2 linked regions of the Caenorhabditis elegans genome follow. The protein of the gene in region 2 purifies or fractionates together with the protein of the main gene of each other region. This does not show direct contact. Each region holds a gene or a part of one and is shown on either strand. Other genes may lie near its edges.

The links.
Region 1: the proteins of tat-6 (region 2) and pyp-1 fractionate together in Caenorhabditis elegans (co-fractionation; one large-scale study listed by BioGRID). This does not show direct contact.

Annotation. Positions count from the first base shown.
Region 1 is NC_003282.8:9,994,619-9,999,640, reverse strand, and holds pyp-1 (Inorganic pyrophosphatase 1), read left to right. Parts: upstream 1-1,677; coding exon 1,678-1,884; intron 1,885-1,930; coding exon 1,931-2,082; intron 2,083-2,849; coding exon 2,850-2,980; intron 2,981-3,027; coding exon 3,028-3,518; intron 3,519-3,570; coding exon 3,571-3,737; intron 3,738-3,781; coding exon 3,782-3,917; 3' UTR 3,918-4,256; downstream 4,257-5,022. Other genes in the region: C47E12.3 (alpha-1,2-Mannosidase), read left to right, coding at 1-66, 122-334; uba-1 (E1 ubiquitin-activating enzyme), read left to right, coding at 4,718-4,912. UniProt on the Caenorhabditis elegans protein: Catalyzes the hydrolysis of inorganic pyrophosphate (PPi) forming two phosphate ions. Plays a role in intestinal development and subsequent normal secretory, digestive and absorption functions. Required for larval development.
Region 2 is NC_003283.11:3,127,125-3,133,934, reverse strand, and holds tat-6 (Phospholipid-transporting ATPase), read right to left. Parts: upstream 4,833-6,810; 5' UTR 4,811-4,832; coding exon 4,629-4,810; intron 4,552-4,628; coding exon 4,401-4,551; intron 4,346-4,400; coding exon 3,836-4,345; intron 3,763-3,835; coding exon 3,516-3,762; intron 3,458-3,515; coding exon 3,121-3,457; intron 2,915-3,120; coding exon 1,742-2,914; intron 1,381-1,741; coding exon 1,124-1,380; intron 1,068-1,123; coding exon 919-1,067; intron 875-918; coding exon 686-874; 3' UTR 523-685; downstream 1-522. Other genes in the region: F02C9.2 (uncharacterized protein), read right to left, coding at 1-58, 103-230; Y73C8C.10 (NADH:flavin oxidoreductase/NADH oxidase N-terminal domain-containing protein), read left to right, coding at 6,165-6,419, 6,770-6,810.

The sequences.
Region 1 (5,022 bases), on a different chromosome or scaffold from region 2:
TTGTTGTTCGATGTAGATCATCCAATTAACAAGGAACAGCAAGAAAGTGTTCTTTTTTCAACAGAGGTATGAATATTGCTGATCTAGGAATTCTTACTTACAATTAGAAAAGTAATTTCAGGGTCACATATTTCCAATATCCCCGCTGTTCAATCTGCCTCCTACTCCGCCATCTCAATATGATCCACCTCTCAAACCATTGCCACGTACCAACTCATCATTTTGCGAAACTGCCACAGACTTCACTTTTGGAACCCCACCACTTCGTCATTCTCAAATGCGTGAATTGTTCAAAGTTATTGGAGTTGATTCGGTTCTTCACGATTGGTTATAATTTATTTGTACTATTGCATATCTGATTTCTTGTTGCCTTATATTTTATGTGGTTTTAGTTCTGTGATAGCAATATTTTTTTTCCGGTTAGCATTAAAATATATGAATTTCAATGATCTAGAAATAAATCAAAAGAAGATAGAATAATGAAATCATATGTTTACATTCTACTAAAATCAATAAGAGTTTAAGTTTTACCAACAATTATGACACATCGTTTGTGATTTGTAATCAGTGTAATACAATGGCGAATGGAGAAACCGAGAGGTATTGATAAGAGAAGACTGCTCACAGAGCAAAAACAAGTCCAAGCGGTTTTCAATATTAGATTCTCCTCCCAGAAGTGTTCTTTGATTGATCTTTCAGTGATGGTCGTTTCTTGATGGGCCTCGTGTTGATCGCCAAACGAAACAAGCCGCTGATCGCGATGATGGCTGCTATACTTTTCACAGTCGCTGTATTTTTGGCTACGAGGTTTGTTGCATTCGACTGTTCCTATTTGGTGGTTTTCAAATGCAAATTAATATTTAGCATATTTTCTCAACTGTCTGGGATTTTTATTTTATTTTTATGCGTTCAGACTTAAATATTTCACTGTTACCGTAGCTGAGGGTTGCGTCTGCATTTTCATGTAGTTTGTGGTGTGATGTGTGTGTACACTGCTATATTTTCGTAGGCCTATTTTTTACAAATTGCTGCGCTGGCAATGCTATTCTTGTTTTGTTTTTATCTTAATCAAATTTTTAGTTATTTTTTATACATATTAATTCTCAAAAATGTATTCAGTATTTGTAAAATTATCTGCTAAGAGTGATTAAATACATTGATCAATACTGAGTGGAGTTATTTATTAGGAACATCAACGATTAATTTTATTTTTTCTGCGTTTTTCAAGCTACATATTATTGCGATAAGGAAATTGAAAATGCATGTCTTCCATAACTTTTATCCGTGCCATTGAACAAGAAGCCATTTATCACCAAACATGCGAAGAGCCTTTTAGACAAGAAAATTAGCTTGTGCAAATTTATTTTAAACCTCTATTGAGTTGATGTTATCTATATTGAGATGTTCAAAAATTTCATGACTGAAATTAGGATTTCTTTTGGGCCCAGGTGAGAGTTTTTTATGCTGATTGTTTTGAGCCACAGGGTTTAGATAATCGTTGAATGATATTATCCTGCCTTATGTTTCAATTTTCAATTTAATCTTGCTTCTATCATGACGACATAACCAAATCCACACATATCACCAACTGCTTGAAAATGTGCATGCGCCACAGCGTCTCTCGTGTTTTCCGCATATATCTCACAAATGTCTGTAGTTGTCCTCATCTCTTCCTAGATGATACTGAGCTGTCGAAGTGTGGCCACGGCGAGAGGATTTTTGTTATCAACTCGTCTTATTATGGGCTGTGCCGTGAGCCAAGAAAGCGCCATCGCCACTGTCTCGTCATCTTCAAACACTGCAACAACATCCACCAGCAGTTCAAATACTTCACAGAAATGGGCCACTTCAAGGACATCGCGTCCAGTTACAAACGTCACACAGGCAAGACTGATGAGTATTGTTCTAGTTTTATTTTGGTTATGTGTAGGTTTCTGCGATTCACACCACTTCAATGGATTCCGGCAGCTCAACTGTCCAATTACCTTCTCCTCGTGGCAGTCTTACCACAGCCGTCTCCACCTCTTCTTCGGGAGCTCAACGACAAATGTCAGCCAATTCGGAGAGGAGTCTGCACACGAGGTTGCGTGTTGATGTTTCTTCCTTCTTGTGTCTGTGTCGTTTTTAAGGGAGGATAACGTTTTATATAATCCTTATTGATGTTTTCTATCACTTTCTAATAACTCACATCCATTGGTAGAGCGGAAAAGAAAAGAAAACAATTATTTAATCTAAATCTGGGTCATGCTCGAATCGCTGCTAGATCTTATATTGAGAAAAAACGTAGTTTAAAAATATTTAACCCTTCTCCAAAACTTCAGTTTGTCCAGCAGCCCCTTGTAGATGAAGTGTAGGCGTACTAAACTTTACCCCGTCACCTCACATTGCAAACGGGCGGTGTCAGCTGATAAGACTAGTCCGTCACCAAATGCTCAAAGAATAAAGAAATGTTGCCTATAATTATGTAACATACTTTTCAAAGATGCCAGTACACATGCTTATAAAATGACACTTTGTGTTTGGAAATTTATTTTCAAGTTGCTTTATTGTCTTTATTTGAATTCGCATTTTAAATTCTGGCGTATTTTTTTTTTAAACTTTTAACGTGAAAACTTTTGCAAATCCACGTTTTAATAGTTTCGAGTGGCAAAATGTTTAAAGATTAGTTTAACAAAAACCTTGTGAAAAATGTTCTCTTGGCTCTTTTGCGGTCGTTGTTTCCGAAACCCAAACAAGTTTGTTATACTTATAATTGGCTGTTATGAGTGTAGAAGTGTTTTCATGATAGCATCTAATTCCACTCGCAAACACATGTAGTTTTCAATATTCGCATTATTATTATTTTTCAGGCCCTTGTCGGAGACTGCTGTCATTTTGCAAAGTCAAGCTGTGAAAATGAGCACCGGAGCCGGAGATTCAGCAGTTTACGAAGCCGTCGAGCGTGGATCTCTTTATAGTTTGGATTATAGAGTTTATATCAGTGAGTCGAAGCTGCTATAATTATTGGTTCTAATATCTATTTTGCAGAGGGACCACAAGGAATCGTATCTCCTTGGCACGATATTCCATTGTTCGCCAACAAGGACAAGAGAGTTTACAACATGATTGTTGAGATTCCACGTTGGACAAATGCTAAAATGGAAATGGCCACCAAGGAACCATTCTCGCCAATCAAGCAAGATGAGAAGAAGGGTGTAGCTCGCTTTGTTCACAACATTTTCCCACACAAAGGATACATCTGGAACTACGGAGCTCTTCCACAGACATGGGAAGATCCAAACCATGTTGTTCCTGACACTGGAGCTAAAGGAGACAATGATCCAATTGATGTTATTGAAGTTGGATCAAAGGTTGCCGGACGGGGAGCTGTTCTGCAAGTAAAAGTTCTCGGAACATTGGCTCTCATTGACGAAGGAGAGACCGATTGGAAATTGGTCGCAATTGATGTCAACGATGAGAATGCTGACAAGTTGAATGACATTGATGACGTCGAAAAGGTTTATCCTGGACTATTGGCTGTAAGTTTCGATTAAACATTTTTCAAAATACGTTTCATTTTTTTTCTTTCAGGCATCTGTTGAATGGTTCCGCAATTACAAGATTCCAGCAGGAAAACCAGCCAACGAGTTCGCTTTTAATGGAGAGTTCAAGAACCGAGAATACGCGGAGAAAGTCATCGATGAGACCAACGAATATTGGAAGACTCTCATCAAGGAAGCAAACCCATCCTTGAACACGTAGGGATTTCATCGCTTTTAATATTCTAAACTTCAAATTTCAGAGTCTCTCGGGTTCCAGAAGCTGTTCACCAAGGAACTGATGAAGCGGCCGCAACTGCCATTGGCGCTACCCCAGAACATGGAGCAAATGCTCCACTACCAGGAGATGTTGATAAGTGGCATTTTGTGCAAGGATGACTAGTACGCCCTGGAAGCCGTGAAGCATCTTCAAAACTTTAAATTTATTGCACTGTCGCTCCCTGAAATTATACTGACTCCCTCATTCTCTTGTTTTGTTCCAACGTATTTGATTATTTGATTCCTTTAATTTTATATTGTTTTTTTCATTATTCGAAAAACTTTTAAAAATTGAATTGGGGATCTTCTCTGTTTATGTATGTGATGTTTTCTTTTTGGTTTACCACCATACGTGAATTATTTGTCAAATCCAAACAGATCTTTTAAATTCAAAGTTCCTTTGGAAAAAGCAGTGAGCAGAGTCAGCACGAACTCGATAAACAGAAGAAACAATTTAAATTTTGAAAATGCTGATTTCAAACATATACGAACGAACTTTTAAAAATACATTAGAAATATCGAGAAATTTCTTTCGCAAAAAAGGAACACAAACACTACGAGACGACGATAGCGATGTTTTTATGTCAAAGAAGAAAAATGCAAAAGCGCTCTATTTTACTGCTAATATTTCTATGAGAAACTTGGCGCCATTTTCCACTTATGTTCCTTTTTCTTCATTTCGCAAGCGCGCCACTTTTTTCAAATGAAAATCAATAATTTCATCCTTCTAGAATCTTCCACAAACAGTTTGTTTCGCATTTTTTCGAAACGTGCAGTGGTTAAAAATCATTCGCTTTTCAATCTCAATTCTCGCCGAAAGCTCATCATCAGATTCTTCTCTTTTAAGCCACCATTATTCGAACTGCATCAGTTTTCATCAATTAAAAACTATTTTCAGTGGTTCTGATCTTTCGTGATTAATGACTACCATCCTTGAGCTAACATCGGCCAACAAAACTAACAACAAGGCCACCAATAACAAGCTGCAGCGTGAAGGAGAAAACGAATATCCTCCGGCGAAACGATCCAAGACTGACGACGAAGAAGAACCAACAGTCGTAGGAAACGGAACGATCGTCGGAGCGCCAAAGCAGCAAACACTTTCTGGGGTCAATGTAAGTTGAAATGGAAAACTATTTTTAAAAAATCTGAATTAACAATTTTTAATTCATAAGAAGCTTGAAAAGAAAGCTCTCAGAGATTCAATTAATTTAAGAATCCTCGT
Region 2 (6,810 bases):
CACTATCCATTTGTTACCTGGCCTAATTTCAGCTACAGGCTGGATTGCAGAATGCAGTCTAAAACTATATAACAGTTACGACATATCACCTAAACGCCTAACCTGTATCTTTCTCTCGAATTCAAATTGTTAGAACAATAGTTAGAGTAAAAATAGGTTAGACCGACTACAGTGACACATGCTATAAGTAGAATATTGAGATAGAAGTGAAATATTGACCTCTGAATCATGAAAACAGAATAGCTGAAACGCTATAACTGATGTAAAATAATATCGAAAGATTCTTTTGACATTGTTTTTTCCTGTTGCCACAAAACATTATAATACGTAATATTACAGTCATCTTATCAGTAGGTCGGTGAGTAAATATTAGTTTGTTTTGACAGTTTTAGGGCTCCAGCTGAGAGAGGCGCGAAATGCGGGCCTCACGCCTGCCGGCGTCACGCCGACACCGCGAGGCCGGCGGAGGCGCCGTTGCGACGACCTCATGGGAGCACTAGACAGTTTATAACTAATTAATTGTTTAATGGAAAATCAATTTTTTATTATTCAAATCGGAAAACTAATTATTCAAACTGTATTACAGAAAATCACGGAAAAATGAAACATGTTCTGATATGATTATTTCTTTCTGAAATTAACCGGAAAAAATATATGTCTAATAGACGAGCACTCGGTAGATATATCATTTGACTTTGGCAAAGCTAGGCGGTGAAAACTTCCGCCGTAAAGTTTTGATAAAATACAATGGGAGAGAGGAAACTACAGTGATAGCTGTGGTTTTGGTGATGAAGACCCATGAAAATACAAATTTCCGATCGAAAAACTGATCTAAGGTTATCAAGGACACCACGTAGAGTCCTAGCGATAGAGCCTGTAAAAAAAGTACTCCAGTTTGACTACTTACTTTGGACATACCTGAGCAACTAGCATCAACCAGTGCCAGGTATGCACTGTCAAGGCTACCATGATAAGCTCAGTTGCGATTAGAGCTGAGAAAGAAATTGAGACAATATGCAGAATGTCTGTATCGAAAATTAGTAGTGCACCGTACATTATTACCGCACCTAAAAAAATAAAATGAAAAAATACTACAATTCCCCAATATTAGTCTGTTACAAACCTTGATAAATCGATATAAAAACCCAAATAAAAAATGTTTTGTAAGATAACGTTCTTCCTTTCACCAACTCCTTGTACAGCTCCGGATATGTTAGCGCATTTGTGGCGGTGACGTCACGGTCGGCAATCAGGGAGAACACTGGTAGAAGGGTATAGCATGATGTGAAGGCGACCATCAAAACACCTTGATATAAGGAGACGGCGACGAAGTAGAATACACAGGAGAATATGGCTTGTACTATTGAGATGAGGAGACCGCTGTAATTTGAACTATTATTGGAAATTAAAAGAGCAAAATTGGTATTGCGGGCGATAATGGGCAACACCGGGAGACATCCTGCAAATAACGGAGGACACTAGGCGCTAAGCCCGATGTCGCCCACATGTCGCCCGCTGTCGCCCGCTGTCGCCCGCTGTCGCCCGCTGTCGGACGCTGTCGCCCGCTGTCGGCCGCTATGGCCCGCTATGGCCCGCTGTCCCCGCTATGGCCCGATATGGCCCGCTGTCGCCCGCTGTCGGCCGCTGTCGTCCGCTGTTGCCCGCCGCCGCCCGCAGTCGCCCGCTATCGCCCGCTGTCGGCCGCCGCCGCCCGCCGCCGCCCGCCGCCAAGTAAACTCACCGATGCATTATAAACTGAGCCAATGTGCATGACCGCTTGTAGCTGAACCTTCCATGCACCAACAACAATCGGCAAATATGCGAAAACTGTGTGATCGAAAAATCTGCGGCAAGTGAAGCCTGTTTTCCTTCATTCGCGTCAATACCGATTCCAGCATGAGCCGCTTGTATCATCGACACATCGTTTCCTCCATCACCTATGGCAGCGACTCTCAATGGAGCTCGATATTTTCGGAGCAGCTGCACAATTTGTGCCTTTTGCTCTGGGGAGCATCGGCAGCACACCACGGCTGTGCTCGCGCAAACGAGTTCGGCGACTTCTTCTTCATAATATTGAAGGCATATGTTGAGAGAGGATCCAGGCATCACCAGCGCTATATTTGTCTTGTTTCGCAGGTTATCCAACTCATTGTAAGCATCTGTTCTGGTTTGTACACTTCCAAACACGTGGATATGATCGGATTTCGAGAAAAGTCCACTAGATTTTGCAATGCAAATTGCGGTCTCTAGCTTGTCTCCGGTGAGCATCCAGATTTTGATCCCGGCATTTCGCAAAAGTTCGAGAGAGGTTGTAACCTGATCTTGCAGCCGATCTTCCACTCCTGTCAAGCAAATCAGCTGTAAATCTCTCTCCAACATATTCTTCACCACATTTGCCATGTTCTGTGTGCGATTAGTTATCGACATTTTAGCCGCATGGTAGGCCTGATCAAACGCCTCCAACTCAGCGCGAGATAAGATTTTCTTAGCGAAAACTAGAGTTCGGAGACCCTCTCTCGCCATATTCGTGCACTCTTCGTCGAGCCAATCGTTGTATTGCACCATGTCACTCATCACAGTATCGGCTCCTTTAATGTAGAGAGTTACTTCACCGGATGTCTCTTCTTTGACTATTATTCCCATTCGTTTTCGCTCAGATGTAAAAGGAAATACGTGTAGAATTTGAAACTGTATTGGAACTGTCGTGCCATTTGAAGGTTGGACGTCTAGAGTCATTGTATGAAGATCTCGGTGAGCAAGTTTTACACCGACGGTTTCTGTCCATTTCACGAGTGCAACTTCATCAGGACTTGCGGCTTGGTAGGATAGCTCTCCGTTTTCCAGAACAGGTGTGACGTTGTGACAGAGGGCAAGTGATTCGACAGCGTTTTTCAGTTTCGCAGAGAATGGGTGTCTGAAAGATTTTATCTTGGACGCACAAATTCCAAAATTTAAGCCTGCTCCCATGTCTCGACATCTACCGGGTTCCGCGCCGCACTATGTTCGCCTCGCTGTGGTCAACACCCACAACATTTTAAACATAGAGCGGCGCGGAACCCGGTAGATGTCGGGCGGGAACTAATTTAGGATTTGTGTGTAACACATTTAAAAAAAACTAACTTCACAAGCGCACTGTCATATGCACTTTTAACATGTTGCTCGACTTCCTCCAACGCATCACCACTGAACGCAACAGTTCCCAGGTGAATCTTTTTGAAATGCATCTCATTTTTCGTCAATGTCCCTGTCTTGTCCGACAGCAAAAATGAGATTCTTCCCAACTCCTCAGGAATTGTTGATGACCTAACTACTGTTTCAGGAATATGATGGTCATGGCCAATTTGCCACGAGTAGAAGAGCTTAGCCATATCGACATTGGTGCGGAGGGATATTGGAATGATATAGGAGAATAGGAGTATGAAGCGAGCAAGGTACAGATACCAAAGTGAGGTTGGGCCTGAAAGCGGGAAAAGTAGATCAGATTTCAAAAAACTTTTGCTACCCCTAAACCATACCTTTCATTAAAACCATCACCGACGCTAGGAGAAGTACAAAACAGAACAACAGCTTTGTGAGATTGTTGATTTCCAAATCAAGAAGTCCAACTTTGTATTCAGGTACCGTAGTATTCATAACAGATCTGGTCTCACACCCGGTGTAAACCACAACCCCAATAGCAGTACCAGACGAAACTACCGTATTCGCCCACAGGACGTTCTCAACATCCAAGGATCCTTCGTGGATTTTGTCGTCGGCGGTTATCTGAATTTTTAACGTGTGAGTTGACGGCTGCGCACTTACAATAAAATATCCCGTAAAATTAAGCCCCCCGTACCTTCACTGTACCCACAAAACTATAAATATCCTTCTGCGGCTTCTCGGCGTAAACTTCACAGTTCAACTCCATAATTTCTGATTCATTGGCCAAATGTTGAGTGAATGGAATTGGAATTTTCAGCTTCCAATCCGTCTCTCCGTCCAACTGATCGGTTCGTATGAAGCATGAACTTGATTTATCAGAAGTTCTCAGCAACACAACATCTGCAGGAACTCGTCGATCTTTGTGCATAACTATGACATCTCCAACTTTTATATCAGCACTTTTGATCTCCACTCGTGTTCCGTCCCTTGTCAGCTTCTCGTACTTTTCCGAATTCAGTTCTCGGTCTCGTAAAAATCTGGCGAAATCTTCGATAGCTTCTCGAATCAGAGTTATAGTAAGGATGAAGCCAAGCGGGAACCAGTACGTGACGAGTGCGCCTATTTTGAAAATTGGCACAAGTTGGGAAAACGCCATTATGAGGAAGTAAAGATTCAGGAAAAATTTGAACTCTTGGAATAAGACCTGGAAAATTTTGTTGATTTTTTTGTATAAGTCGACAAAATACGGTAAAACTCACAACTGGTACGAAACTGAAAATATTGTATTTTTGATTGCGGACAGTGTTTGGTGGAAAGGTTCGTGGCGAATCGTGATCAATTGGTCCATATCCGATACGGACTGTGCGAGAGTGTAAGGCTCTTTGTCGAGACATTAAGGATTGGAACCATCTGGAAATACAGATATGTGGAGGTGGAAATCTCAGCTAGTGCCCAACGCCTTCCCTGGACAGGTTTGGGCGACTTACACTGTTAATTTTTCAAATGGCGATGTTCCAGGAAATTGTGTTCTGTTCGATTTTGAAATCTCTGTTTTATCTCGAATCCTAGTGGCCACGTCATCATTCTCAGATTTTACAAATGAAACTGAAAAGTCTTCTGTTGAAACACACTGGTTTAGATAGGCGGATTGCGTAAAGTTTTGCACCATTCAAGCCTTGGAAAGTCTGAAAAAAATTTAAATAAAAAAGTTATAAGAAACGGAAGCACGTAGTACCAGACTATCCCATCACGATTTGATCTACATGAAATGCGGGAACGTTCTTAACCATATAAACTCAGTTGAGAACTCTGCGTCTCCTATCCCGCGTTTTTTGTAGATCTACGTAGATCAAGCCGAAATGAGACACTCTGACACCACGTGCGTTACAAAAATTATAATTTTTCATTAACAATTGTCAAAAAAAAAAACAAAAAAAATTCTAAATCAGGCACAAACAGGCGCCATTATTTTTTCACATGTTTTGTGCCGGCAAAAACAAAAAACAAGACAACTGAAACTGCTTATTATGCTTGATAAGCTACTAGAAAAATATTTAACGAAAATCAAAAATTGAACATTAAAAGGCATATATTCAAAAAAAAATTCACTGTTGGTGCTACCGCAATGCATATCATTACTTGAAAAATGTCTACACCGCCCATTCTAGCTCTCGACTAAAAACGTTATTAGCCATGAAGCCCCTTAGCACCCGCAAAAAAGACAAGGGGAATGCGAATCGGTCTCTCGGCTCACACTCACATGCTCTTTGCTTCGCCATGGCGCTCATTAGTGCGCTGGTGTGGTTGTCAAGGAGAGCTGAAACGAAACGAAACGGAGGGAAACGGGATAGAGAGAGAGAGAAAGCAACTTGAATAAGGAAATTGGAGAGTTAACAAGAATTGTTGTGTGTTGATCTTGAACTTTTAAACATAAAATTGACAGAAAACGCTTTAAAACATTTTTTTTTGGCAAAATGTATATAAATTTGACAAAACTGGGTACGCCCGGCAAAAATTGAACCCAAACATTTTTCGCTATCAAGCAACCCTATTGTGAAGCATTGAACAATTGAAATTTTATTGAATAGAAGCTAAATTTTCAATATATGTTAAGAAGAAGCAAACAATTAAAAAAAGAAACTACACGTGGGAACATGGTATAAAAATTATGAAATTAAATGACTTTGCACAGGTAAAGCGGGACTGCTCAAAGCGACCCAATGACGTATTACTTATTCGCTTGGCATCAGTTTGCTAATTTCCCTTTTTGCAAAATTCTAGTAGAAATCTAAGGTGCCTTTCAAATTCTGTGTTTTTGTAGAATTTCTGAATATTCGGAACAAAATATTCGTTCACATTTTACCATCAATTTTCGAATGTTTTCAATCCTCTCGCTACGAAGACTCAACTTAACTACAATCGTCACAAACTGATAAGGGTAAATAGACTGTCCGTATCAAAATTGTAGCAAACGTAGGCCAGGGTTATATAAAGAATTAGAATTGAGAGATGCAATCAGAAAAATGTCTCCCCAACGTTTTCCCACCTCGACAACCTCTGCCTCTTCTACTATTCTTGGTGATCGCCTTAAGTTTCGAAATGGTCCAGAAGCCCAGAATCGATTTTTGAAGGCAGCATTGACAGAAATTCAGTCCACTTATGCTCCAAATGAACCAAAGAAGCATGGGCTTCCAACTGACACTATTTTGAATATTTATGACAAATGGGGCAATGGAAAGTACGGAGTGATATTGACTTCCAATGTTCTCGTTGATCCGGTAAGTATTCAAAATTTCAAAAAAGATAATCTGTAATATCGCAAGCAGACAATTTTTGAACTTTTTTTATGTAACATATTATTTCGACTTTTGTGTATTATTTGCATTAGTGATGAATTTAGCACTCTTTATCTTATCGTTTTGATAAATTACTCAAATAGAACAGTGAAAAATGAAAAAAAACAACTGTGGTATTTTTTTCTGTTTATAAAATCTGATTATACTGAATCGCAGGTATAAAACTGAGTCTGACCCTACTGCCGCAACTCATATTTAGAAACTATCTTGTGAAGTGTTCATTGTGCTTGACAACAGCGGTCTCGGAATTTCTGACTTTTTAATATTTTCAGACCAATTTGGAATCCGCTGGAAATGCAATTATCTTCAAGGA